Drosophila melanogaster: one gene and its partners. The protein of the gene in region 3 purifies or fractionates together with the protein of the main gene of each other region. This does not show direct contact. Each region holds a gene or a part of one and is shown on either strand. Other genes may lie near its edges. The genes, in order: Pc, pho, esc and Pcl.

Evidence for each region.
Region 1: the proteins of esc (region 3) and Pc purify together in Drosophila melanogaster (affinity purification with western blotting; one study listed by BioGRID). This does not show direct contact.
Region 2: the proteins of esc (region 3) and pho purify together in Drosophila melanogaster (affinity purification with western blotting; 2 studies listed by BioGRID). This does not show direct contact.
Region 4: the proteins of esc (region 3) and Pcl purify together in Drosophila melanogaster (affinity purification with western blotting; 4 studies listed by BioGRID, with this or other methods). This does not show direct contact.

Annotation. Positions count from the first base shown.
Region 1 is NT_037436.4:21,312,538-21,321,031, reverse strand, and holds the start of Pc (polycomb), read left to right. Parts: upstream 1-3,011; 5' UTR 3,012-3,121; coding exon 3,122-3,235; intron 3,236-3,549; coding exon 3,550-4,608; 3' UTR 4,609-5,726; intron 5,727-8,494.
Region 2 is NC_004353.4:1,176,798-1,184,843, reverse strand, and holds the start of pho (pleiohomeotic), read left to right. Parts: upstream 1-3,215; 5' UTR 3,216-3,254; exon of another isoform or gene 3,255-3,476; intron 3,477-3,562; 5' UTR 3,563-3,705; coding exon 3,706-3,796; intron 3,797-8,046. UniProt on the Drosophila melanogaster protein: Polycomb group (PcG) protein that binds to the 5'-CNGCCATNNNNG-3' sequence found in the regulatory regions of many genes.
Region 3 is NT_033779.5:11,826,704-11,831,246, reverse strand, and holds esc (extra sexcombs), read left to right. Parts: upstream 1-1,841; 5' UTR 1,842-2,011; coding exon 2,012-2,071; intron 2,072-2,143; coding exon 2,144-2,277; intron 2,278-2,339; coding exon 2,340-2,511; intron 2,512-2,875; coding exon 2,876-3,787; 3' UTR 3,788-4,043; downstream 4,044-4,543. Other genes in the region: Pde1c (phosphodiesterase 1c), read left to right, coding at 416-970. UniProt on the Drosophila melanogaster protein: Polycomb group (PcG) protein.
Region 4 is NT_033778.4:18,131,349-18,140,490, forward strand, and holds Pcl (polycomblike), read left to right. Parts: upstream 1-4,077; 5' UTR 4,078-4,575; coding exon 4,576-6,063; intron 6,064-6,122; coding exon 6,123-6,295; intron 6,296-6,350; coding exon 6,351-7,425; intron 7,426-7,492; coding exon 7,493-7,888; 3' UTR 7,889-8,642; downstream 8,643-9,142. Other genes in the region: Hsf (heat shock factor), read right to left, coding at 1-386, 446-1,593, 1,656-1,764, 2,523-2,732. UniProt on the Drosophila melanogaster protein: Polycomb group (PcG) protein.

The DNA of each region.
Region 1 (8,494 bases), on a different chromosome or scaffold from region 3:
GCGAGCCCATTCGAATGTGCGTCAATACATGGGCGGGGAAAGGGGCGGCTGGTTAAGTAGGCGGGGTCAGGCTACTGTGCGGGTTTCATGCAGCAGGCAGCGCTACGGATTCGCCCACAATCGCAAGTTTAAGGCCAAGTGAGTTCCACAGCTTGGGCACCACGCTCGAACTTCTGCAACTCGAACCAACATCTGTCAACATGCGAGAGTTCCATTCTGTATTTAAGTTGGCATATCATTAAATTCACGGGTTAGGCTACCAAGTACTTTGCATTGCTTTGATGTTGCTTTTACCGAGAAAGTAGTTTATAAAACGGTAATCCTTTGGTTCGAGTTACAGCATATGGAGCTAGAGTAGTTTCTACTTACAAACTGTGGTACTGCAGTATTCAAAACTCACCGTAAGCGCAATGCCCACTGTGGCGGAAAAGGAACCCAGTCGGAACTCGCCCGTATTGTATTTGACCAGGAAGGAGGTCTTTCCCACGCCCGAATCCCCCAGCAGGATCGTCTTGTGGTTAACCGTATCATCGAAGGGCTGCTGATGGGCGTTGGACGGGGCTGGGTGCATGTCCACTTCATCGTAGCGATACGATCGCCAACCATCGTTATAGTCATCGTCGTAGTCATCCGTTCCGTACGCATACATCTGCATTGCCTCGCGGGAGGGACGATAGCCAGGATATCCGGTGGCCGAGCGCTGAACGGGCGCCATGATAGCATCGTCGTGGTAGTGATGGCTGCCCGTCAAACTCAGCTGGCTGTGGTGGTGGTGGTGATGGTGGTGGGATGGTTGGTGGTGCGAGGATTGGTGGTGATGCGAAGGATTGTGATGTTGTTGCTGCTGCTGTGTCGTTGTCGTCGTTATCGAGGCGGAAACTGAGGCGGGCGCTGCGGGGGGATTGTAGGAGCCATCGCCAAAGGGCCGGCGACGCAGCTCCTCGATCCTGGCCTGGGTGGTCTCCGCATCCTCGAAGACGTCGTCGCTCATGCTGCTGGCGTCGTCGGGATGCGCTGATCCCGCTGGCGGTCCTCCCGCCCCGGGGTCACCTTCGCCGCCTCCCAGTCCCACCGCTGTGCTGGCCATTGGTTTCGATTTTATTGGATTGTGTCTTGGCCAAAAGTTGTGCTGACGCTTTTATCCTGAGCTTTCACTTTCTCATTGGTTTAGATTCGGGATTTGCTCTGAGCTTTATCTAGGCTTTCCCCTAATTAACTCCGAAACTGTCTCTTTTATTTGCGCATATTGAATAGAATTGTGTCACATTATCATCGACCCCTCTTCTGAGGATTTGTATGACCTCCTATTGCGGCGTTCCTTTCTCTTTTCTTTTTATAAACTCTTTTTTTAGGCAAAACGACTGATAAATACAAGCTATTCCATTGTCCTGTTTGCGTTAATATATGGCCGTAATGCTCAATCTACTGGTTAAAAAATAACCGGAAGTTTTCGTTAAGCTGTGTCTCTCTTTTGTTACTTTCTCTTTGCGATTTTGACACTTGGCATTGCTTCTCCCAATATAACTGTAACTGGCTAGCTTTTATCGCCTCTCATAGTTTTGACGTTTTCTCTGAGCTTTCTCTCATCGGCATTTCCGAGTTTTCTCTTTATGACTTTGACATTTACCGTTGTCCGTCGCTCCCGTCCGGTTGTGTGGCACGTTTTTCTGAATGAATCCGCTATTCGGGGCTTTCGCCTGGAGATGGGGTGGTTTGCCGTTGCTATTATTATTTCCTATATGCTATAAGCTTAATATTTTCGCCAGCCTTATCAGTTGGCCAGTTTTCCTAATCGCTATTCGTTAGTTTTTCGCTCCGTACAATTGAACTAGGTATTGGTTTTTCCCCTTTTTTGTTCGGTTGTTTGGTTGCTTGGTGTTTTGTTTGAAGCCACTAATTAAATATCATCTATGTAAATTGTAACTAGCTAAACATATTGACTAATATTTTATAGGTTATGCGCTAATTGGTGCTGTTTTCACTATGAATTAAACATTAATCTATTTATAGGGTTCGCAACAATTTGCTTGGTGTTTTTCTTTATGTTTTGGTTAAAGCTTTTGGTTAATTTCTCGTTTTCGTCGTTAAGTGTGAAGATTCTCCATGCGTTTCGCGTCCCTCGTCGAAAATATTGCGATTGATTTCAAGGGAATGGGTGTTATTTCAGTTGTTGGTCTTGGTGTTGTTGTTATTTCACTATCACAGCATAAATAAAATAATGTCATCGTCGTTGCCGCCCCCGCCACGCGAACCCTCGGCCAACATACAACTGGCATAAAATATCTGCAGTCGGCCACTTCCTTTCACATCCATCCTGAGCTTTCGGCGCTCTTGTGCTTTCTCACACTCTCTCCCGCACTTTCTCTCCCTCTTGAGGATGTGGCATTTGAAGAGTTCGAAGAGGGTAACTAGTTCAGTTGTAATCAAGTTAATTATCAAACTTAATTGAATAGGAATATGGGGCGAAGTATATGTGGCAATTTGTGATACAATAAGTGAAGCAGGACAAAGGAAAATCAAAACTCAATATGGGATGAAAGCAACACAACGATAAACGTTAACGAAAGTATAATATTTCGTTACCTGGAATTCAATTCAACATGCAGTTTAAAAAGAATACTGTACAAAGGATTCATTAAAAATGCGCTTATTAAAATTTGATTAAAAGCTATTTTATATTTAAGCTAATTGGTTTAACTTCTCGCCGGTTTAGTAATTTGTAGAAACGATAAAAGAAAATAGTGTATAAGGCAACAGCGCCAAAAAAATGTTTTCTAAAACATTTATATACCCCATTTATAAATAATAGAAAAATGTCAAGAAATTCTGAAAATATTTTAACAAAACATTTACATTTTAAAAACGCACAATTAGGTGTGTCTAGTCATCAAAGTTTTGAGTCTTTGCTAATTTTGCCAGGAAAGGGTGTGCGACACGGCTACTTGCTAAGATATGATCCCAGTTCTTTGTAGCACGGTAACTCTGCACCTCGCAGCACTATCGATTGTTTACATGAAAATAATCGAGTCGGACGACTATCGACGTACGCAGAATTGTAAACCAGAAGTTAATTGCAAATAAAACGAATAATAAAACGTTCCGAGAAGATTATTAATTAAAAATGACTGGTCGAGGCAAGGGGAGTAAGGGGAAGTTGGGGCGCGACAATGCGACCGACGATCCAGTCGATCTAGTGTACGCGGCTGAGAAAATCATCCAAAAGCGCGTTAAGAAGGTGAGATGAGCGTAAACAAATTCGAAAAAGGCGACCAAAACGGGATGCTCCGCTAAAAATGGCAAATGCAATATGCGCAGCACACGCAGGATATATGTATAGTCCACAAGGTCACATGTCCTTCGACATTTTTTGGCCAGAGGACATCTGCTGCTGCAACCACCATTTGCACGATGCATGTGTGTGTGCGTAGTGCGTTCGTATGTGTGTGTGTGTGTATGTGAGGCGTGTTTTTGTTTCGCTGAATGGAAAATCAATTAGTTGTCTAAGAAAATGCAATCCACCCCCACTCCTTCACTTACTCGATTTTCCAGGGCGTCGTGGAGTACCGTGTCAAGTGGAAGGGCTGGAACCAGCGCTACAACACCTGGGAACCGGAGGTAAACATCCTGGATCGCCGCCTCATCGACATCTACGAACAAACGAACAAATCCTCCGGAACTCCCTCCAAGCGAGGCATTAAGAAGAAGGAGAAAGAACCCGATCCGGAGCCGGAATCCGAGGAGGATGAGTACACCTTCACCGAAAACGATGTGGACACGCATCAAGCCACCACCTCATCGGCTACCCACGATAAGGAGTCGAAGAAGGAGAAGAAGCACCATCACCACCACCACCATCATCACCACATCAAGTCCGAACGCAACAGTGGACGGCGCTCGGAATCTCCGCTGACCCACCATCATCATCACCACCACCACGAGTCCAAGCGTCAGCGCATTGATCACAGCTCCTCCTCGAACAGCAGCTTCACGCACAACTCATTTGTCCCCGAGCCGGACAGCAACTCCTCCAGCTCCGAGGATCAGCCGCTGATCGGCACCAAACGCAAAGCCGAGGTGCTCAAGGAATCGGGCAAGATTGGAGTTACGATTAAGACCTCCCCAGATGGCCCCACTATTAAGCCTCAGCCGACCCAGCAGGTAACTCCCAGCCAGCAGCAGCCCTTCCAGGATCAGCAGCAAGCGGAAAAGATTGCCAGCGAGGCTGCAACGCAGCTGAAATCTGAGCAGCAGGCCACCCCACTGGCCACAGAAGCCATAAACACAACGCCCGCAGAGTCCGGAGCTGAGGAAGAAGAAGTAGCCAACGAGGAAGGCAACCAACAGGCGCCACAGGTTCCTTCCGAGAACAATAACATACCAAAACCGTGCAACAACCTGGCTATCAACCAGAAACAGCCGCTTACTCCTCTTTCGCCGCGTGCCCTTCCGCCGCGCTTCTGGCTGCCGGCCAAATGCAACATATCCAACCGGGTGGTGATCACAGACGTCACCGTAAACCTGGAGACCGTTACCATACGCGAGTGCAAGACGGAGCGCGGGTTTTTTCGTGAGCGCGACATGAAAGGCGATTCGTCGCCAGTAGCTTGAGCTTCGACCCAAACAAATGTCGGGAAAACAAACCGGAAAACTGATACAATTGTAAATAGACAAACCAAAATGCGAGAAAGTTGAGAGAAGAATTATGCAGAGAAATCCACACTAAATGTTGCTAAGCATTTTCTCTTTAGGACTTAACTAATTTATTGTATTTATTTTTAGCGTAGGTTTTAGTTTGTTGTTTTATTACAATGTTTAATGTGCAAGAGTAGTTTAAGCAAGCGCAAGTCGGGTATTTACTAAATGACTTTATATATACATAAATTTTCGCTCATTTTTTTTATCAGCATTGCAATGATTGAATATTTTCCTATTTAAATTAAAAATTTATTTTTCTGCAATATCACTTTTTAAGATTAATCTGGTTGTCATTTAGTGAATAGGCGAAATGCTGCGGCTGCTTAACTTGCCAATGCAATAGATTGTAAAACTTGCAGCGTAGATAAATATGTATGTACATGTTACATATATTTACCACATATTGTATATTTTTTATAACACTTTGAATCTGATTGAAAACAACACAAGACACTCAAATGCTAAGAAAACTCCATGCGAAACCGAAGCAATTGTTGATTACGCTTACAAATATATACAATAGAAGATGCATATATTCGAGTAGTCACCACCACGTTTGCCGAGTTGGCTATCCCAATGTTGTAATTGTTTAATATTATATTTCCTCGCGCCGACTGATTTTACAAAAGAAAACCCCAAAAACATATATACAATTGTAGATTTACAAATATTTTTAGACTTTAGCTAACCAAAATCTCTACGTAATATTTATTTTAACATGTTCTCTTAGCAGTCATTCAAGACTCAAGTGCTGCCTTTATGGGTTCAGAGCGGTGCAGTGCACAGATAATTCCAAATCGAGCCCATAGACTCATTACTTAAATCCTATGTCTATTTCACAATTTTTTTTCACGCTATGAAACAGAAAACTACGTGGGAGCTGCGGGGAATTTACAAACTCCTGCTTATTTCCCATGGGTCCTGTGCGTATGTTTCTATTTGTCTTAGCTCTTTATTGGCTAGTTTTAGTTACGGCGTAAATTCCACACAAAACAGCAATTCAAAGCGTATATTTTAAGCTTTTTAATATAGTTGTAAAGTCCCAAATGAGAAGACTTTACTCGTTGAGTTTTTGTAAGAAACTGATTTTATTTGGAATTATCTTCGGTTTAAATAGGTGACATGAGAATCGCATCTTAAAGTAAATGGCCTACGCAGAGGCCTAAGTAAATAGTCCCCGCCTTATCGAGGTCCCACGCTCGGGCACATCTGCCTATCTTGAGCGGCGAGGACCTTATCTGTGGTCTCCCACTAAGGGACTATTTTAGGAGGCGGGGAACGATCTCAAGTGACTGACTCATGTAGTGTGCACTTAAATTACATGTTTTTGAGCAATGCACCCATGTCGCCTTAGATAACAAAATCCTAAATATAATTTATCGCTCTCGATTCATTTACATAAGATATGAACGGAGCCCAAAATTGTAAGTCTTTAAATATATTCGTGTTCATGTGTGAACATTCTGCCAAAGGGCCAGCAAGCTGAGATGTACATTAGTATATTAGTTGCATTTATAACAGTAGTGGACTGTATTTATTTGATATATGTTCATTTATTTTGCAACTAAGATTTCAATGGGCCTAGTTTTTCTGGCTTTTAATTTTATTGGATTACAATTATGGTTTATATTATTTTTAATTCAACAATTTGTACTCAATTAACTTATTTTAAACATTTTGCTTTTTCTATGTAGAAGTACATTTTCTATTAGTGGACTGTATATTTTTATTTGTTATATTATTTTATTGTTTATTTACTATTGATATTTATAGTACTGGCAACGGACCTGCAAAGGTTATTGCTTGCATTCTTTGTTGCACAGCACATTTCCGTATGAAATATATTATTAATACTATCATTAGTATTAAAGCAATAATTAATCCAGCATGTCCGGAAATATGATGGAAATGTAAATCTTTCAATTTTTGATGGTTCTCTTTCATAAATTTAATTTCATTATTCAATCGTTCAAATTCCTCAGTATGATTTAATATTGATAGTTTCAGCGGATCCCAAATAATCTTCGGCACTCCACTAACTTCTCCTATATAAGGTGTTGATAATAATTCTTCACTTTCGGACTGAATGTTATGGTGGGCAACTAGAATTTTATCGTCGGTTCTTGCCGTACAATATGGCGCAATGCTTAAAACTCCTTGCTGAGGCAAATCAAACAATTCAATTTGAGAGCCAGTACATTGCAGACGGACTTTTGAATTCGCAGGAACCTTAAACAACCAACTACTTTTCTTTTCTAACTCTACCCAGTAACTTTTAGAGTCGACTACTGTTTTATAGATGCAGTTCGCCGCTTTATCTGGCTTTAGAGGCTGAATCTCACATGCATTATCATTCGCTGAATTCCAGGGCCAACTTCCTTTGCATATTCTCTTATTTAGTTGCCATTTCTGACATTGATTTAATGTGGCTTCCGTCATTATGTGATAGGAATCTATCTCAAAATTATAAATTAAATATTCGGACGTTGTATGCACCATTATTATCCGATCTTCATTTCGAATTGGCACCGGAATAAGCCTGAACAATTTGGATGGATGCTGCTAAACAGAGGCACTTTTGCACTAATGATCAATTTATCGTCGATGAATAAACCCCTGGCTGTTAACAGTGTATACACCTCCTTAAGTTCCGTACCTGACCGTTTTCCTGGAATTACTAGGTTCTCCGAAAGACTCTGCTGAATTTTGGCAATTTCTTTTTTAAGCTGATTTGGCCTGAGAATATTTGTATTTAGCCTACCGTGATTAATATCAATCAACAGGCTTATAATGCCTGCTTGAATTTTTTCGCCTTCTTCAATCAATGAGTGTAGCTGTTTCGTAATCATAAAGAATTTTATTGATTCCTTATAAACATAATAATTTTCTTTAAGAACTTCTGTCATGTTCTCAATTCTTATTTGCATACTTCTAAAATTGGAGTTAACATCTTCTGTTGTTCTCTTTAATAGATTAGAAGTTGAATCAACCACAGATGTTTGTTTTTGAATTAGTTTATCAAGGTTGTTCTGGTTATCTAACAAATTCTTCATATTTTCTTCTAATTGCTCTCTATCATCTTCATCCATTATACCAAATAAAATATGATACAAGGAACCCATAAATTCGAAAGGAGCACGCTTGCTTCTAGATCTAGACTGTATCATAAACAATTTATTGTTTTCTTCAAGTTCCGATAACTGACTTTGCATATTATCTAAAACTAGACTACATTGCTCTTCAAAGCTATGAAGTCTTTCGCAAACTTTCCTCATACTTTGTATAAGCGCATTACCCTTTGTTAACATTTTAAAATATGGATCCATTTTATAATAGATAACCAAATTCCAAGAAGTACTCACAATCTCAACATCTCCTAGCGGGTCTAGATATATTGCTGAGGTTTTATTTATTCTGTCTATAGAATATCTTGGTGCTATATCTTTAGGTAATGCGCTAGAAACTTGACAACTTAACACAAACAACAACATTGCCATAATGATTCCGATCTTGGACATTCCCGATGTCGCTCTAGTTCGTCTTTTTGGCTCTTGGTCAGCCTCATTTTTGTCAACAGACTTTATTCCTTCCAAGGGACAAATTTTAGTAATGGGTCTAGTGATATATCCTTCCTGCATCTTTACTTTAGCCACTCGGACCTTATCATCATTCCCCTTATGCACCTTTTCCACCTTTCCTAAAGGCCATCTTGCAGGATGACAATTCTCATCCTTTAATAAAACTATTTGCCCTTCTTCTATATTAGGAATTTCCTTTTTCCATTTATTCCTTTGCTGGA
Region 2 (8,046 bases), on a different chromosome or scaffold from region 3:
GGATAATATGCTCTAGGAATTTTTTCTTGTTATAGACCTAATCCAACGTTGAGCCCTCGTGATATTGATAAATGGGAACATCAAATATCTATAAGTTGTCAAAAGCACATTATATTTATAGAATGTCCTTAAAATTATTAATATTTAAACGTATGGTTCTATATTGCACCCGCAAATCTGACTTGTGTGCAAAACGTTAAGAAGTGAGTACGTAATACACACATATGTGTACAATCCCGAGAAAAAACGTTGTATTTTTTTATTTTTTAGCGTTTCTCTTTACATGAAAATTTTTTTTACGCTCTAGTTCCAACTCTACACCTCCCGCGCAACCAAACGAAGGGCGCTGCCGAATATCGTATGGCTCGATTTGCGAGAGGATAGATGACATATAAGAAACAATAAAATTCAAAGATCCATATAAATAATAGTAAGATATATTTAAAAAATCTGAATTGGTCGGCTTAATAGCTGCAGGACTAGAATAAAGTCTTTTATAGTCAGAACATTATGCTCTGTAGGGGTCTAGTAGGATCTACAATGATTTAAATTATATATAAATGCCTAATAAATCTGCTTGGAACAGAGAACTTTCCGACTAAAAACTGTTCCGAACATCGTTCTACGGTTAGCTAACCGTTGGGAAAGTAAATTAATTAACTATACTCGAATTAGGAGGTAATATAAGGTTTGAATAAATTAAGGCGTCGTAAGGCAAACAGTTTTATAAGCCGATCCATTGCGGTCCAAGTGAACTACATATTGTGGACTTCAAACAGACGATCCATACTAAGGATCGAACGGACTAGCGAAATTAATAAGGTTTCGGTTATATAAAGACCATCAAATTCCTTTGACCACCTTTTTATAAAACCAAGCATACCCCTATTGACAATAGATGAAATATGGTTTGAAAATTTAAGCTTAAGGTCCAGAACACCATGTGTTATTCTGTCCAAAAAGCACCCACCAATAGTATAAGTCACGTGTATTAGGTTGACTCGACAAAAGGTCATATATTTACACTTGGAGCCATTAATGTTTAGTTTATTTTCACGCCACTTTATTTGAAATCTATTTAGATCGGATTGTAGTACCAAATACCATGACTGGCGTTGTGGAAGCCATGGAGAAATAGTATGTTTTTAACTCCCGAATATATATATAGTATATAGTGACGTAATTAAATAATTAGAATTGTCCACAAAAAAAAAAGATCAATATCCCAAGCGGGCAATCTCGCACCGGAAATAATATAAACAAATGGGCAATATGTGACATATTCACATAATCAGCACTTTCAGAAGAAATACAGAGTGGCGATTCCACGCCATGTACGCTAGCTGTATACAATAAATATCTTAAGCGGGCGATCCCGCTCCAGAAATAATGTAAACATAGGCAGTATAAGAAAGATTTTTGTCACTAACATATAGTCTTAAGCTGAGATCAAAAGAATAAAGACGTGAAAACCATCTCTATGATAATTTTTTATTTCTTAGCGTTGACCTTAGTCAACTGAAATTAGTTAGACTCAAATATATAACAATTATTTTACTGTATGCATGTATGCATATAGTAATGCATATTAGTTTACTTTTCCATGAAAATGCATTAATTATATATGTAATTGTATTTGTTGTATAGAAGCAATTACTGGACCACCGGCGGATGAAAAGGTGGACGACAATACGCAGCCTCTTTATTGAAGCAATATTAAAAAAGAAAATAATAAATTTAATAGATGAATTCTTTTTTGTTTTTATTTAAAACGTCGATGTTTTTTCAACATATTTCGCCAAAAACATCGATGTCCGCCATCATCGATATTTCTCAATCTCTATTAACAGAGTCAAATCAAAGACATTAGAATAACATGATTGGTAACGACCATACGTTGGTTTAGCACAATGCAGTCACTTTTTTGGTGACGGTCAATATTGACATTCTCTGGTAATCGAATTCGTAAGAATTTTACTTTTGTCTGGGCGAAATTAAAAGTAAATGCCTGTTATACATACATATATCTATCAAATCAGATCTTATTAACTAAGGAAAAAATATTTTATTCAGTGGTCTATCGATGTTAATTCCAAATCACCACAAGATCATTCTGCCAATGCGTTATTATACAAAAAATGTATTTCCGACCCCACCTCAGATTTGACAAACAACATTTTGCCGTCAGCAACAAATATTTTCGATTTAGCAAGGGGATTAGCAAAGGAGAAGTACGTTCCCAATATTTATTGCGAAGGCTGCCATACTGTTGGTAAAACGAAACAGGCAGGTAAAAATACTTATAAAATATAAAAGAATTCATTAATGAATTTCAGGAATGGCCAAAAGAGTTGTATGTATTTAATTAAATGTATTTTTATTACTTAAATGTCAAAGTGCAATAACAAAGTAATTGCGAACGTCGGACTTAAAACTGTAAAAAAAGGTGTCCGCTCTATGGTCTGGAAAACAGCTTGAACAGCTGTTTAATGTTTACAAAACATTCCGATAGCAAAAATTTTGCGAAAACCAAAACAGCTAAAAACGAAATCAAAAGATTTTGCCCAAATCGAAATAAAAAATAAAAATTACAGGAGCATGATTGACTATAAATTATCGCTGTGCATGCTTGGCATCTCTTACATCAGCACAAAACACAAGGATTGGCAGAATTGGCGCTTTTTCAAATCTACAGCAGAACACAAGATCAGTAGAGATGTTGAACCATCGGTGCCTGATCCCACGCAGTAGAAACTTTCCCCTTTCGTTTAACAGTTGCCTCTTTTAAATCTGTTCCAGTCTCATGTTAAGCTTTGTTAACGATGGGAAATTGGTTATAGCATGATTGCACTCGTTTTCCGAAATGAGGATGATTCCATTTCCACATTTTCGAAATGTATTTGTGGACCGTATCATATGAACTTTATTTATCACTAAAACTAATAGAAAAATATACACATTCTTTGATAGGATTTTCTTTAAGCATATGAAAAATTTAATTCATATCGGTTTACAAATTTGTAGTATTATTTAATTTTATGTTTTGCATGTATATTTCAAGCTATACCGATATAATTACAGAGATTACAGCCAGCTTGTTCTATATTTAGAAGCTAGTCGACGTGGAATCAAGATATATTTTGCGTTGTAAAAAAATACTAAAGTTTAGTATGTTGCAAAAAACCCAAATATTTAGGCATCGAATACCCATGCCAAACAAGCAGAATAACCTTTTCAATATTTTGAGTCATTTGGTATCGCGTTTTATAAAAATTACTTGAATTCTTTTGTTTTCCTCGGCTTTTAGTGAAACAATTCGACTATCATTAAATTTATGTGGCGTTTAATTAATCTTTCGTATTATTTCAATCAGAATTTTTTTAACATATTCACTACATTTTCTTAGAGAACCGTTTGTCATATTTAATGTATATTATGTTCCCTACTTAAATATGACAATTATTAATTCTGTGTGTGTACGTATCAATCATCCGTGATATTATATTCATGTCTTATATTGCCTACATATGGAATAATGGCAGTAAAAATGCTGTTCTTTCAGATACATCAAATAGCCTCAGGGAATGCAACGCTCAGGAAACATACAAATCTTACCTAACACATGTGCCTACAATTATCCTGGCATTTGAAATGCTTTAATACTAACTTTAAACTCATGCGTATGTGGATTATAGTATTGTAAATATGGCATACGAACGTTTTGGAATTATTCTTCAAAGTGAACAGTACGATGAAGATATAGGCAACACAAAAGTCAATCAGAAAATGAATGAAGGTAAGTTCGGATTTTACAGGCATGTCTATGTTTTGAAAATCGAATTATAGCAACAAAGCACTTTTTTATAAAGCGTAACAACAAAATACTGTTTAATGAAGCATAAAATATAAACATATTTACTTGTTATACCCGTTAGTCCTAGAGTAAAAGGGTATACTAGATTCGTTGAAAAGTATGTAGAAGGAATCGACCACAGTATTCTTACTCATGATCACTAGCGCCAAGTCGATCTGCCCGTATAAACGTTGAGATCTCGGGAACTAAATAAAAGATGTGAAAGTTAAGATAAAGCATGCACATTCTAGAGAAAATTACCACTTCTACTCCAACGCCCACAAACCTTCAAAAACTGTCAAAACTAAAATTTTAATATTGTTTAAGCCGCCATACTAACATTTTTAAGCCAAGCCCAGATCGTTAATGTCAGCTTTTAAGCGCCTTGGCATCGAAGAAATGAAGTATCATCAGATTGTTCAGTAATATGTTAGGTTAAGGTTTTTCCAAAGGAGGCAAGACTCGGAAGACTATCACTCAAAACACAGTGTTGACGGGTGTGAGGCTAATCCTCATCTCTCGTGAGTTACCTGTAATGGCGGAGACGCCGGGTACCCATGTAAGCGTTAGTTTGGGTGTGCTGTAGACGTTCAAGTTCAATAATGGTGTTGCTCACAGGCACGCTCTTGCTAGTGTTCGCTTGAAATGTTAATATGCCGCATGACTGTCCACAATCAAAGCTGTTATTCTGATTCCCATCTGACTCACATCGTTCTTTAATTGCTAAACTGCAGAGTCCTTATACCCTTGTGAGCGTTAGTTTAGTGTGCCGTAGATCTCCCAGTTCCATGATGGTGTTGCGCACAAGACCCGTTACCTTTTCGCTTTTGGCTTAAAGATTTAAAGAATATTATATGGATATGTACGGATTTGCGGATATCCTAATGTGCTTTTGAAGACATAGAATTTTAATTTAAAGTATTTTTAATTAGCTGCGCAAATAATTTTGTATAGAGAATATAGTAGCTAATTTGGTTGAAAATTTATCACGCTATATAAGTATTCTTAAACTCGCAAAGTAAAAGGGGTTTCGAAAAACAATGGCAACCGAAGGAAGCGTTCCCGACCCTATAAAGTATATATATTTTTGATCCAGTGAACTACCCAAGTCGAACTGGATATGTCTGGCAGTATGAATGTCGAGATCTCAGGAACTAAATAAGCTAGAAAGTTGAGATTAAGCATGCAGATTTCAGAGACAAATCCGCTCAAGACTGCTATTTGATTATTTTTCTCCACTAGTTGCGTAATGGGTATCTGATAGTCGGAGAACTCGAACATTTTCTCTCCTTTGTTCATAGATTTAAATATCAACATGCTGTGCATGCTTGCTTACACTGATATAATCGCCTTTACCCGAAATTGTCTGCCTGTACTTGTTCAATATTTATAAAGTATTAATTACGTTATAAAGTATATACATTATATACACTTTTTGTCCGTTTCTAGGTAAACTAGTTTCCAAATTTGAAAGAATTATTTCTTTAGAGGATCAATATACAGCTGAATTCATTGAAATATTTTCCCTGATCCCTCCCTCTCTTTCGTGAGCGACTTTTATTTTACTTTTGTAGAATGGACATTTACTTTTTTATGGTGTTTATTAGAATAGAGTTGTCTGATGTTGTTTAACGAAATAAAAATTAAAAAGTGAATTTGATTAAGTTGATTTGCATATTTAAAAGGACAATGCAATAAATAAAATTTTAAAGAGCCCAGAAACGAGGAAATAAATAAAACAACAAAGTATAAGTGTAATATTAGTAAGATCTAATTATGTGTTAAAAAAGTTATAATTGATTGCTGTAAGAGCGGCAGAGAGTAAAGATTACAGATAATAGGATTACGTCTATTATAGTCAGAACATAACATGAACATACAGAATGATTTAAGATTAAGGGTATGTAGTTTCTAGTGAATATACTTGGAACAGAGAAGTTTCGCCGAAAAACCAGGTCGGGACTACTCGTATCGTACTACTCGTAAACTTACTAATAAAGACTGTTCCAAGCATCGTTCTACGGTTAGCTAGGGAGGGTAACTGAATTAGAATTAGTCTACTGGAATGAGGAATAGGACCCACAAGGCAAACATTAAGAATTTTTTTTGGACCCATTCAATGATGCCCAGTCTCTGCCTAGCCTTCGTTGCATACGGACGATCGCGATAGTCTAGTCTGTTTGTTGTAACACATCAACAACTCTTCCAATCGTACTGTGCACGCGCACAATTTCTATTTCTATCCAATGCACAGCAGTGGTGACAGACAATTACGTTACTTATCATAGATAAGCTCAACCAAGCCGACGCTTTGTAAGCCCCTCAATTGTTATCTCTCGAGCTTGCGAAGTTGACAACTAGTAGTAACACCAATGTTACCAACACCATAACCACCCAAGCTAGCTGTTCGCAGGCAAGAAGTGCTGCAATGTCTGAGATGCCATATTTTTGGGCGTTCCAAAAACTATTGTCTCCGGGGTTCAATCTGTGGCAAGCGTGCTGGGCCCCACGCAACTGGCTCTACGCTATGCACGAGGGATAATTATTTGTGTATCAACTGCGGTGGTGATCATGCTGTAACTGACAAAAACTGTCCTGTCAGAATTGGAAATAACCCAAGGCTCCCTACTTTTGTTGCTCATGGCAACACTGTCAGCTCTGAAAAAGGTGAAAGCTTTACTCACGGATTCATTCCGGCTGAGGCCATCAGAAGCAATATTTCAACCGCCGATATTGTACAGGCCAAAGGCCCTAAATTTGGTTCACTTGCGACTCACCAACACCACAGTGATCCAAACTCACCACAAGACTTAGGCTTTGGAAAAAAGTTTCGCTGGAAAGCGCCATCCAGGATATAAACTCGAGAATGGACAAAATCTTCAAACTAATTGAGGAGACTGTAGAATCAAAAAAGGTTTTTAGAGAACTGGTTCAGATCTTCATATCACGGACGTCAAAATGACCCAACCAATAATAAAAATCGGATTGTGGAACGCACGAGAACTAGCTAGAAACTCTGAGGAGCTTCAGCTTTTCCTTAGGATGCAAAATATTGATATCATGCTTGCCACCGAAACAAACGTGCGGGAAGGACAGCGTATCTCTCTACGTGGTTACTCCACCTACGACGCCAGTGGAAACAGCAGAGGTGGAGCCACTGTCATAGTGCACTCTTCCTTGAATCATTGTCCCCAACCCCCAATCTCAACCAACGACCGGCAGGTAGCGAGCGTGCAGCTGCAGACCTCAGAGGGAACAGTTACTTACCCACCCAGCGAGCGGTTGATAAAAGCTTATATTGAGTAACTTTTTGTAACACTTGGTGGCATATTTATGCAGGTGGAGACTACAATGCAAAACATCATTGGTGGGGAATCTCAAGAGCCTGCGCCAGAGGCTTGAGGCAAACAAGATGCGTAACGCCATACGATTTTTTGGCACATGGCTCTAGAGGTGGCTCCAGGCTCTCTCGAATTTTTGTTAGAGAGCGAGAGAGCGAAGAGCGCTACAGCGAACAGCTCTTTTCAACGCACAAAGTGATAGCAGACATCTGTATGTGTGCACACTATGCTCATGCATTGTAAATTTGACAAAATATGCCCTTCACCTCAGAAGTTCTTAGACGTTATATCTATATTATTTTTGATCAAATGGCACCATGCGAAAAATTCTTGTTTTGCATTGCCTTAACGTTATTATTATTTGAAAATAGATTAGAAATAGCCAAATCTATGTACATATTATCACAAAAATAAATTTCAAAAATGACTTTATATAAGAATATTTGTCATTAGAGTATTCATCTTGCGGCGTGTGAAAAATTAATAAGGCAATGATTGTTGAGTGCTTGTGTCCGCACTTCGTGCCTCAAGATATGAACAAAGCAAAGACACTATTTAGTATATTTATTAAATCATTTGACTTAATATGATGTAACATTAACATTAATAGTGTTTCAAAAAAATATTTCGCTTTTAAAAAATTGTCAGATGAGAGACAAATTAGAATTAAACATAAATATGTGTAAACGGTAGCTAATTCGAGCGGCGATTTTAACAAACAAATTTAAAAAGCTTTAAAATTATAATAGTCAGGGCGCGAATTTTTAAAAATTTTTTTATTTTATCATATTGCTAGGAAATTGGCAAAAACTACCCTAATATGTACCACGTAAATTCGTTTCTTCGATCAGA
Region 3 (4,543 bases):
GTGAACAGTGAAATTCTTGAAGGTTCAACTTTAGAACATGATTGACAGATATTTTATTTAGAGTAAGGCAATCTTCGTGGGAAAAGTCCAATCCACTGCCCCTACTAAACCCAAAAGCTTTATCACAATCTCTCAACTGATGTTCTATTTATATATTCTTTCTTTCTATTGCCAAAACTATTTACCTAAAACCAAAAAAAAAAAAAAACATGAAAACTAAATGAAAACTTTTGCACAAAACACACAAACAATCCGAATGCTATGCAACGTCAAATCAACGTGGTGTCTCGTTGCCCAAAAATTGCCCATTTGCATTTTCGCTGTTACTCACTGCCAACTGCTGGGCGCCGAAAAACTTGACCGCCTTGGCACTCGAAACTGGCGCCCAACGTATGCCGGCCATTTACTTCTGCAGGGAGGGCTGCAATGGGAATTGCAAGAACCTGAACTGCAGTCGCCATAGCCACGGACGCGATGACCAGCAGCAGGACAACAACAACTCCAATAGGAGTTGCAGCCTGCAGGAGGCGTCGCCTGGGGGAGCAGGTGCAGGTGTCACACCAGGCGCTGACAACCAGGACAGCATAGAGAGTCGCACCAAGGGCGTTTCCCAGGCGCCGCAGACCCACAGTGGCCCAACGGGTCCACCATCCAACACCTCGAGCGAAACTATCGCACAACCTGCCCCTAAGCTTCAACCCGCCCTGGAAACCGTAAGGGAATCGGTGATGGAAGAAAGTCCTTCGAAGGATCCCGGCGACAAGGGACCACCGCCGCCCGCCAGCACATCCACATTGACATCCCAAACCACCACCTCCTCCAGCGCAACCGCGGAGCCAAGTGCCAAGGCGGCCGAGAGTCAAGCGGGAAGTGCCGGCAGCAGTGGCAGTTGCAGTAACCCAGCGGCGGTGCATCGGCAACGCCGCCTAAGGACACCCACCTGGGCCAGGTCCATGTCGACGAACAAAACGTACTTGAAATTTGATTTCTATGCTAGACTAACGTTTATCCGTTACGCCTCTTCAGTTCGTTCGATTTGCCTTTATCGTTTCACGTTTGCGTTAACCAACCAACAACCACACAGCTCCAGAATGAACTACTTTCTATATATACACACATAACTCTATGAACTCTGTCTCTCTATCTCTCCTTTATCCAATCTATCCATCTGTCTGCTGACCTCTGTCTGCGATTTCCACTGCTGTAATCTTCTGTCTAGCCTCTGTCCCCTACCCCAAATCTTTTGCTCGCTTCTGTTGTAAATAACTATTTTATCCTAGACTAATCAAAAAAAAAAAAAGAAAAAAGGACACTTGTTTCGTTCCCCAGCCGCGCTCAGCGGGATTGTAAATGTTTCGTTGCCGCGTTTGGACAAAAAATTGCTTACTACGTTTAAATACTCCGTGCAACTATTAAATCAAACTTACATTCATACGTAGTAAGCACTTGAAGGAGTGAGAACTGGAAGATATACTTTAAATGTATTCAAAACTGCTTAAAGTATTTGTATGATACATTTGCATTTCTGAGAAACTATATCTTCCACTTTTGACGCCACTCGCAAGCAGCAACTCTCCTAGTCTTGTCGACCAGTGTAATTTTGTGAATACATGTACAAAGTTTGAATACCGCACATGAATCCATGGCATGTTGATTGTCCTACATTTGTTTGTTTTCTATATTAAAAAACTAGCTTGCGCATGTGTTTTGTCGTTTTTGAACTTTTTTTAACTTTCCCGCCTAAGTGTGTTAAATACCGTTTAATGTTTACCAACACTGGCCAGCCGATCGTGACCAGGTGGCCACGCTGCGCAATGGTAAGACCGTACTGCCTGCAATGCCTGGGTATTTTACGCGATCCGTGACTGGGGTCACACCATTGCCGCCAAAAAAAAACATTTTCATTCGCCTCGTTATTTAAACATTTAAAAAAAGCATTATCGAATAGTTCATTGAAGTCGCGGCCTAATTTGGGTTTCATTTAACCGTACAAACGTGCCGCGCGTTCGAAATGAGCAGTGATAAAGTGAAAAACGGCAACGAGCCCGAGGAGTCGGAGGAATCATGCGGCGTGAGTAGCGAATGACAAATGGCTGTGCGAACCGAGAATTAATGGATCTTTTGGGCCATGTGCCGGCTGCAGGATGAGTCGGCCAGCTATACCACCAACAGCACCACCTCGCGCAGCAAGTCCCCGTCATCCAGCACGCGCAGCAAGCGCCGCGGTCGCCGGAGCACCAAATCGAAGCCAAAAAGTCGCGCCGCCTACAAATACGAGTAAGAATATGCACTTTCTCAGCTGGCCACTGATACTGAACCTACAAATGATTACCATGAAGCACCCACGTGAAGGAGAACCACGGAGCCAACATCTTCGGCGTAGCCTTCAACACGCTGCTGGGCAAGGATGAGCCACAGGTCTTCGCTACGGCGGGCAGCAACCGGGTGACCGTCTACGAGTGCCCTCGACAGGGCGGGATGCAGCTGCTCCACTGCTATGCAGATCCGGATGTGAGTCGCCAGGATACAGAATACACTTTCAAGACCCTATTGATCAGTTGGCTAAAGTTAGGGGCTTCATACATTAGACATCGCATTCAAAGCTGTAGAAAAAGTGGGATCCAGTCAAAGTTTCTATTAAATCATTGCTTTTGTTAATTGTTTTAAAGTAAGAACAATCGTTACAGGCTTTCAGCATGGTTTCACAATATCCAAACATTTATCATTTCTTGTATTAAGTTTGGTTTTTCATAACAGTCAAGTTTTCAAATTAAAGCTTATATTGTTAATTTAGCCGAGAGTAACTGAGAATATGGTCGCAAATGTAATTGTACAAACTCGAAATACATCAACAAATCTTGAATTCCCTTCCCAGCCCGATGAAGTATTTTACACCTGCGCCTGGTCGTACGACCTTAAGACCTCTTCACCTCTCCTGGCCGCTGCTGGATACCGCGGAGTCATCCGGGTTATTGATGTCGAGCAGAATGAGGCGGTGGGCAACTACATTGGCCATGGACAGGCCATTAACGAGCTGAAGTTCCATCCGCACAAGCTACAGCTTTTGCTTTCGGGCAGCAAGGATCACGCGATAAGATTGTGGAACATCCAGAGCCATGTGTGCATTGCCATCCTGGGCGGAGTGGAGGGACATCGCGATGAGGTGCTGTCCATCGACTTTAATATGCGTGGAGATCGCATTGTGTCGAGCGGCATGGATCACTCGCTGAAGCTGTGGTGTCTGAATACGCCCGAGTTCCATCACAAGATCGAACTGTCGAACACTTTCAGCCAGGAGAAGTCAACGCTGCCTTTCCCCACGGTGACCAAGCACTTCCCCGATTTTTCAACGCGGGATATACACAGGAACTATGTGGACTGTGTGCAGTGGTTCGGCAACTTTGTGCTCTCCAAGTCCTGCGAAAATGCCATTGTCTGCTGGAAACCGGGACAACTACATCAGAGCTTCGAGCAGGTGAAGCCGAGCGACTCCTCCTGCACGATAATTGCGGAATTCGAGTACGACGAGTGCGAGATCTGGTTCGTGAGATTCGGCTTCAATCCGTGGCAGAAGGTGATTGCCCTGGGCAATCAGCAGGGCAAGGTGTATGTGTGGGAGCTGGATCCCAGCGATCCCGAGGGCGCACACATGACCACCCTGCACAATTCGCGTAGCGTGGCCACTGTGCGCCAGATAGCCTTCTCTCGCGATGCCAGCGTACTGGTCTACGTGTGCGATGACGCCACCGTGTGGCGATGGAACCGCAGACAAACAACTTCCATCTGATGGCGCAGCTGGGCGCAACCACAAACCAAATCTCACGTGGCCAAAACTTACAACATTTCCCTCAATTAGTTCCTAGTTGGTTAGCATTAAGATATAGAATTACGCTCCTGTGCTGTTCCAAATTATTTCAAGTAAATCCAATTAATAGTTGGATGAGATTTAAATATGTTAAGCCGGTTGCTTTTTAGATGTAAGAACGAATAGTTGTTGCTTACTCTGCTGCCTTTATTTATTGTAAATAAAGTGAGTACATTGTAATTTCACATGTATATAAGCAACATTGAAGATGTATTTTCTGCTTAACCAGAATCCAAACTGCTGCTCTTTAAGCCATGTAAACGTCTTCAAGCTGACTGAGTGTCCCCAGTTGGCAATTCTAATTGCGAAACAAAGCAAAGCTGCGCATAACAAATGGCTTTCAATTGCTACGTCATTTATATGCATTGCTGCAACGCCATCCAGCTCCAATCTGCTGGAAATGCGGCGAATAAGCGCGACGAAATTGAAACTGCCAACGGGCGTGCGAACCGGGATGAGTGGGAAACCAAGCCAGGCCAGGCGGACAGCGATCCCGACCAGCCATAACAGCTCCCAGCAGACTGATTAAGCGAGCAGAGTCCCACAATGATTTGCCATGCCCTAGCTGGATTTTTATCGAACGCTTCTCTCTCGTTTTGATGAAAGTGCAGGCCATTTCCATCATGGGTTTTTTTCTTTTTTGGGGGGTTGTATCTAATGGAAGTTTATGAAAATAGC
Region 4 (9,142 bases), on a different chromosome or scaffold from region 3:
TCATCTTGCATGCTTTCCAAGTGCCCGTGGAGTTCGTCACTGCAACAGTAAGAATTAGCCGCTTGATTATGGCTTATCCGACTTGAATTCGTATTCTTCTGGTCTACTAACACTGAGGCCATCCTGAGGAGTTGACTGTTGTTGGTATCGCGGTTGTTTCCGTTCTCAGCGCCACTGTATTTGGCCACAGCCATGCCCTCTTCCTCAGATGCTTGCGCCTTGGCCGCTGCCTTCGATGTCGAGGCCTGATTGGCATCCAGCAGCGTACTGTTGGTGGGCACATCGAAGTTGCTGGCAAACTTGCCGCTGCTCACTGTCGATTGCCCAAATTTTTGTTGCTGGTCCAGTTTGGCTGCCTCTTCCACGCCGTCGGGAAGCAGAGCGTCCTAAAGAGTTAAGAGAAAAGAGTTAGCAACTACCATAAGATGTTTAAAATGTATCTTACTTCAAAAATATCCGTCGGCATATCCTCACTGATGAAGTTAACACTGTACAGATCGTTCGCGGGAGTCATTAGATCCATCAGTCCGGAACTGTTCTCCGGCTCAGACTTTATAATCATTGGCTGGACCATCACATCAGGTTGCGTACTATGCTGGATGCTTGTCCGTTGCGCCTTGGGCGACGAACTATCTACGAGAATATCTCCAGCATCAAGTATAACATCTCCTGCCTGTCGTCGTAGCTTGTTGTTCTCCTTAAGCTGCTGACGCTTCTGCTGCTCCTGCTCCCGCACCATGGGCGTGGTAAGCACATTCTGCTCCTCGTAATAAGGCGGACTGTTTGGCACCTCCTGGACATGAGAATCGGGCGCCTCGGTGACTGTGTAGACATCATGTTGGGCCGGCGATTGACTCACACTTTGGGCCATGGGAGAAGCGGCTCCGCCTACTAGAATATTACCGCCAGCGGTTCCATTTCCCTGGAGCAGCAAGTCCTCCACACTCTGATTCGAATAATCGACGTTGTGCGAGCTAATGCTCATGTTAGATCGCGGACGCTCAACGGCAGGCGGAGAGACGCTCTCTTGGTCATAATGTGAGGCTGCGGTGTAGCCAGCCGGTGATGGATTCATCACCTCATCAAGAAGCTCCTCCCTAAGCTCGTGGATAACCGGTCCGCCGCCACTCTCGCTCTCGGTCTCACTGGTGGTCCGTGCACGATCAATTTCCGGCGTATTGTTGATCATCAGCTGCACGTGGCGTTTCACGCCAGACATGTTGCGCGACGGTTGCACAATGGTAATGAGGAACTGGATCAGTTTGTTGACTATTTGTTGCTGCTTAGCGTGCTTTTGGCGCAGGCTGGCTATCTCGCGCCACAGCACTTCGTTCTCCTGTTTCATGGCGGAGAAGCGCGAATCCAGATTGTCCTGACGACCCCGCATGACTTTCACATCGGTGAGAATCTTCGACATGGCCTCCGGCTTCAGGACACCTTTGTCGTCACCATTTTTGTTGTTCGATATTTTCCTTTTGATTTGGTCAAGTAGAAAAGGCGAGTTGCGCTTAAAAAATGGGTGCGAAAATTCAATCTCGTCGCGATCAAAACGTAGTCCGCCATTGTCAATAGAGGTGATCTTGTGGAATCCATCTGCAAAGCACAAATTTTTTTTAGTTTTCAGTTGATGTTTCAACGATGTTTCATTTACTTACACATATTCAATTGCCTTATGAAGCTGGCCATGTTGTTGTGCTTGTAGTTTAGTGGCAATAGTTCCTTGGCGAATTGCGCTTGATTTTGTATAACGAAACTTTGGCCATCCTGCAAAAATAAAACGAAAAACGGAAGCGATATGAGAGTTGTGCTGATATGTAGTTGCCACAAACCTATTAGCGGTTGGCCGCAAACCAAAACCGATAAGCAACGAAAATAATTAGCTAATTGTAATTATATCTATAGATGCAAAACTATAGTTACGAGCCAAAGCTGGAACTAGTGTTCTTATATAATGTATAAAATGATCGTTTTAAAAAAATTCGTATTTTATAAAATTTGTCAACTTTTTCATTTAAAATTCAAATTTTTGTGAGATTTTTATGCGTGAAACACGCTAAAAATATTGGATTTGAAAATTAGATTATGTTACGCTCATACTCACATATTAATGAGTATATGTTGTCGACAAAAAATGGTAGGCTATGCTTATCAATAAACTCTTCGTTAAGAGTGTGTGGTAACCTAAGTGAGAACCAATTACTCTTATCTTAAATGAAAAGCCAACTGAATGACCAAGGGAAATTATTCGATTGTCAGTTGGAGATGGAAAATTTTCCAGAGTTCACGCACGTACGCATGCAAATGGCAACATCGACAACAACAACAAGATGAGTGTGTGGGGAAGGCAACTTGCATACGTGCGATGCGGCATGGGCAACAACAAAACAGAGAGCGAAACGCTACAAAGAGAGCTTGAGACACCTGCATGGCCAAGTCATTGTTGTTGCCATGCTGATTAGCGGTATGTGGTGGGAGGGGAGTCCCTGGAAAGGTAAATAAACAATATGGCGGCGTAGGCTTACCTTGGTCCAGCAAATCAAGCGATTGGTATCGGCATCGTCCACCAGGCGCCACAATTTGGCCAAAAAGGCCGGCACCCCGCTTCCGATGGCCGCGGCGTCTCCGTAAGAGTGCATTCTCCTGGAAGGCAGCTGCTCCTCCTCGTCTTCTTCCTCTTCCTCCGATTCGTGCTTGAACTGCACGGCTTTAGCGGATGAACGCGACCTGGACATAAAGTGACCAGCAGCCTGGAAAGGAGTACTACTCAATGAATTCACTGCACACCAACACCAACACAAACGCTTTTTTTCCAGTTTACAGTTCACTTTTCCACGCCGCTGTATGTGTGTGTGTTTAAGTGTGTGTATGGGTGCGGGAATCAGTGTGCGTGTCCAGGTACACCATACATATGTAAAATGTACATATGGGTACAATTTTGATGTGAAAGTTGCAGCTCTGATCGAATCGAATGTTTTCGGTTGCAGCCAAGTGCGTCATTCGAGCCACCAACTTGCACAAATGGAGCTCCAGTTCTTCTTCTCCTGCTCAACCTACTTACCTTAACAATTTTGCAGCTCACAAACCTTTCGCGAAGTGAAAAACTCGCGTTTTACTTGTTTAGTTTAGTTATTACACTTCACTTTCTTGGCGTACCGCTTTTGTTTTACACAGTTCTTCGGTTTTTAAGTGCTTTTTCGCGTTTTATTCACAAGTGAAAATTTAATGAAACCTCCGTCAAGTAAAATTGCTTCTGTTCGCAGCGTGACCAATTTGGTAAAAACCTATCGAACTAAAGTTCGCTGCTATATATACCATTGCTAGCTGTCTGCTTGGTCCTCTGGTTTTTATCTAGTATTTTCTGGCGCGCAACTTCGTATTCATATAATTGACCCCAATTACTAGATGATCATTATACTAAAAACTTATCAAATTCTGTTATTTGTTTTTAAAGCTAGTATTGATATGTGTACCCATAACATTAATTGATAGGCAACTGTCGATTTTAATACGGCAGACCAAAGGATAGGGATTTTAGTATTTGGTATTTTCTATTTGATATCTTTAAGATAATTATGAGTTAAAATTAAAATTAGTTGGTTTGATTTTAGATAAGTTGTACATAAAAGCATACAAAGGGCATACTTACTAAAAAAATTAACATTCATTTTGAAATTTCTATAGGATTTACTTTGACAATCAAAAAGTTTTACCTTAATATAAATGTTAGTTTTATTTTTTTTAATTTGATTTAATAATTGTCACTCTACATTTAAAATGTAAATTATGTATGATATTAACGTTTTTGAATCTTTAGGAAATATTTAAATGTATTTTCTAGTATTTTCCAGGACGAGACCGCTGAGTCTTTGCCGGCACAGTGGGGATAATTAAGTAAATTTATGGTATATTTTATACGTTTCGATATATTTAAAAATATAAAAATGTAAAATTGTGGTGACAAATTTCCAATATTTCTTTATTTATTTTAATCAAGTTAATTTTATTACCATAACATACATAAGTTGTGGTAGATTTATATATGAAAATGTAACGAAAAGAACAATTGTTGGATGCGGTCACACTGGTGGGCATATGTTGAAAAATGGCTGACACAAATTAATTTTCAAGTGATTTGTTTTGTGCATTTTCGCTGGTGTTAAAGATGAACTTGGGACAACGACGTTCAAAGCCGATAGCCGAATCAATAAGAGCAAAATGCTAATTTAATGCACGATTCGAAACACACTTAAAGGTGGGTAAATCGGCAACCGAAACTAGAAGTGCCTGTGGTGCGTGTGGAAAAGTACGAATGAGGAAGACACAGAGAATACAAAAGGGCCCGCTCTCCAGTCCGTATGTGTAGCAAAAGTGTGCATGTATGTGTCGGCGGGCAACAACAAATTCGACGAAAAAGGCGCCAGATTAATGAGCTCGTGTTAATCAGCGGGAAACAATCGCAAAATCAATGAAAAAACGGGCCGCGAAAAGCCGGCAAATCGAACTGAAGATCCATATTTTTCACAAAAGACTGCGCACTGGAAAAATCAACGCATCTAGCACGCACACACAGCCGCAATGATGAACAACCATTTTCACTTGCAACACGATCATCCACCGCAGAACGTGGCACATCCGTTCATGCAACAGCCGAGTACCGCTGTCCCATCAGCTCCTCCGGCCACCTACGGCTACTTAGCACAGCCAGCTGGCCAGCAGCCGCAGTGGATGACGACCACCTACCAGATCCTGCCGCCCAGCGTAGGACCTGCCACGGTGGCCAAGCGATACTATGCCACCACTGGGCCGCAGACCACGCATCCCACACATCCCAGCACCATCCAGATCACGAACAGTTTCGCTCAGCAATCAACGCCACCGAAGCAACAGGCGGCAACAAGCTGCAGCCCATTCAAGGCCAACAACATACGAATCATCTCGACGGCGCCAAGTGTATACAGTCTGAATAAGCCGCCACAGGAAGCGCACTCCACATATGCTCCCGTTCAGTCGTACTACTTGCCCAGTGGCGGTGGCCAAACTGCGGGACAAATCAATCTACTGGCGGCCAGCGGAACTGGCAAGCAACTGCAGCCGCCGCCGCTGGTGCCTGTGACCAATTCCACCTCACCGCCCTCCACCGTCGTGTTAGACCGCATAAACATTTGCATCAATAACCACTATACGGAGACGCCCACTTCGCTAAGTTCATCGCTTACCACGGCCCAACAACCTTCGCCCATCATACCGGCCATCCAGCACAAGGCCATCCTGCCCCTCATCGACAGCAGCACGGCGGATAGCAGCAGCTGCAGCAGCAGTTCTGTATCCAGCAGCAGTTATAGTGGTACCGCGACCACCTCAGCAGCAGTTGTGATTGTGGATGAGCCGGATTCTACGACCACAACGCCACAGACACCGCCAACTACGCCGGAGGCCATGAGTTCACCCGGTAAAAGTTCGCCCTCGCCTCCGCTACTAGCCACGCAATCGCTGCTCAAAGGCGTCAACTCAATGAAGCCAAGCTTCAAGACCGTCGAAGCAGCACCGCCAACGCCGCCAACACCTCCATCACCACCACCACCGCCGCCGGCACCACCAGTTGCCGCTCCCTCGCCAGCGGTCACGTATGCGCTTCAGGAGGACGTCTTCATCAAATGCAACGATGGCAGATTTTACCTGGGCACCATTATTGACCAGACAAGCGATCAATATCTTATCCGCTTTGATGACCAGTCGGAGCAATGGTGTGAACCGGATAAGCTGCGCAAGCTAGGTGGCGGTAGCTCGATTACCGCTGGCGGAGGCGGTGCCTCTACCACGGAATCCACGAATACCTCCCCCAGTGGACCCATGTGCGTGGCCTGCAAGCGATCGGATATCGAAGATGTGGTCGAAATTTGCGAGCGCTGCGGACGTGGCTACCATCGTGGTTGCACCGTTGAAATTGTTACTGGCAGTGGAATTTGGAGTTGCAAACGCTGCGCTAAACCCATGAAAATGCAACAGCCTGTCAGCCATAAGATCACAAAACCAGCGGGAATTTGTCGCCAGTTGCCCTACCATGTGAGTATTCTACGAACCCAAGCCAGCGGATTAGATTCTTAATCCGGTTTTACCCACAGGCGGATAAGCTCAGCTGGGATGAGAAGCATCGGGTCAACGAAGAGCAGATCTACTGCTACTGCGGCAAACCGGGAAAATTCGATCACAATATGCTGCAGTGCTGCAAATGTCGGAACTGGTTCCACACCCAATGCATGCAGAACTTCAAGAAGAAGCTGCTGCGCGGCGATATGTACGTATTCAATTGCTTTACTGTGATCTAAACTGAAATGAATCTCATTGTCTAGGTTCTTTGTTTTCTGCTGCACGGTCTGCAACAATGGCATAGAATTCGTTCGTCGTATGCAAATCGAATGGGTGGATGTGCTCCACATTGCACTATACAATCTGCGAAAGCATCAGCACCAGAAGTACCATCACCTGCTAAATGACATTTGGCCCTTCATACTCGAGCAGCGCCACCAGCTGCCTATCTGCGAGAAGTGGCGCACACTGCCCGAAACGGCACTGATGGAGCGTCTCAAGCAAACCCTTAAGGATTACTCTGACAGATTTGTTTGCGGCAGGGAGTTTAAAAGGGCTCCGGCCTTCTATGCACTGAGACACAGTGGCCCGCCACACATTCCCAAGGTATTCCTTGAGCCCCACGAGGAGCTGTCCGATGAGCTGCTCGAAAAAAGATTTAAACTAATGCTCATGCCCGAGGAGCCTGATGAAGGTGCCAACGAGCTTCCGAAAAGAGTTCCCAAAGATGTGTATGAGTTTAATACAGATGAAGATGACCCAGTCGAGACCAGCGAGGACGAAATACCCATCAAACAGATTATTGAGAAGGCCAAAAAGCAGGCCGCTCAGAAGGCCGATAAGCATGATGAGTTGCCACTGAAGCCGGACCTCGCCGACGACAATGCCAACGATGGCGATCCCGGCAAACTACCAGCTCCCATTCCACCTCTGCTGGACGCAAACAGCAGTCGGAAGCGCAAGGCTTTCCGATTGTCCAAACGCTATGACAACAGCCGCAATCACTGTGATCTATCATCCGACGAGAATTCAAGCAGCAGTCGGGGAACCAGTTCGTTGGACCTCATCATACCACCGCCGGTCAACTTTTTGGGACGCAACAATCCATTCCTTATGGCCACTCCCAAAAAGGCGTCGCAGGGACGAAGTATTTCTGTGGGAACTGGAGTCGGAGTAAATGGCATCATAAACAGCATTTTCAAGCTTAAGGGCACCTCCAAGGAGCAGCCGCGCATGGTGCGCACCATCAAGCGAAGACTGAGTGCCAAAGACATTACGATAGGGCCCAATCAGGAAGTGCGCAGACGACGCACTCGCCGCCTGACCACGGCCATTGAGGTAAGAGTTTAACTAACAACAATGTAACTATAATGTTTGAGATGTTTTTTTCGTTTCCACTTAATAGGTCATCAGCACCACCACCATCAATCCCATACCCAGCCACTACCTTCCTATCTATGCCAAAGATCTGCAGCCACCCGCGCCGCCAATGGGAAAGCCGACACATGGGCGCCTGTTGCGCCAGCGACCACAGAAGCAGTCACCCAGCCAAAGCCGCCGGAACTCCACCAGCTCGACGGCAACCAGCAGCAGCAGCAACGGCATTGGAGCCCCAGGACATTCCATGCTGGACTTGAAGCAGTCGGTGAACAAGTACTTTGGTGGCGCTATGAATCGCATAGATGCTGGTGAGCCCTTTGCCATTCGGGCCAAGCGGCGCATGGGAAATGGACAGGTCCAGTACCTGGTGGAGTGGGGCGGAGATACAGCGACAACGGCGATTGGATTGCTTGGAAATTGAACCCTTTGGCATACCGACTCATTATGAATTTTATATTCTTCATTTCCATTATCATTTCTTTTCGTTATTATGTATTAATGAACGCTGCCAACTACGGGCCTCTTTATTTGTTAATGTTTAAAAGTTTATTACCAACCCACTGCCAAAATAGAAAAAGATTGTTCAAAATATTGGTTCAGCATTAAAGCGATAAAATGTTAAATTGTAAAAAAAAAAAACGAAAAAAAAGCAAAAAGCAACTGAATACAGGTTATAATTGTGCAATGGCAGTTAAGTGTTGCAGCAGAACATAAATAAGTTTTCACAAAATTGGTAAAAGTATTACAAGATTAATCTGGAAGCCTATGTAAAATTCGCTGATGAATGAAAACGTATTAAATAATGAGAACAATTCAGTTAAGTTCAGTACTGTACTTTAGCGATACGCCACGCCCATGTATGTTTTTGAAAAATATACCTTCAAATGGGAAAACTCACAAATCATGTCATGCATACAAAAAAAAAACAATTGATATACATACATACACACAAATTTAATAAAATGTAGGACTAGTTCAATAATTTTCACCCATAGTCTAGGCAAAACTACACAATAATGAATTAAGCCAGTACGTTTTATGTTTAACTATTAAATGCTACGAAAAATCAAAATTGAGTTGAAAGCAAACTAATTCTCAAGCCAAGTAAATGTTTGGCCAAACCAGATCGAAATATGTTTAATGAAGTATATAATGCCCAAATAAATGTTTCCGAAATGTCAAATCTTTTAAGATTTTACTCAGGACACGCCAGTAGGCGCCCAAAGTGACACTTCGCTTTGAAGCTTGTCAGGCACCGACGCCTCACACCGCTTCATTAGGTACTCGATCGCCAGATAGGGCACATGCACCAGACGTTCAAAACGGGAAAAAGAAAAAAAAAATTATCCTCAGCCATCCTTGAATGTGGTCTATTTCGTAAAAACAAAAACACAAAAAAAAAACTTAAAAAATTCTTCAATCTCTGTAGTGCCGATTTCCATCGAGAACGAAAAGAAGTACTCAAGCACTTCTCGGAGTGTCGACTTGCAGCCTCATCGCTTTATTCTCTGATTTAGGTAAGTTCGCACAGTGGGGAATTACAAAGATGGGATTCGGTTTTCGGAGCATACGCTAATATCTGTGCAGTGCCAAAAAATCATTTTCTAAAAGTCTACGCTCATTTTTAAAAGAAAAAAAAACTGCATTCCTAATTTTGGATTGTGTTTTATGAGAC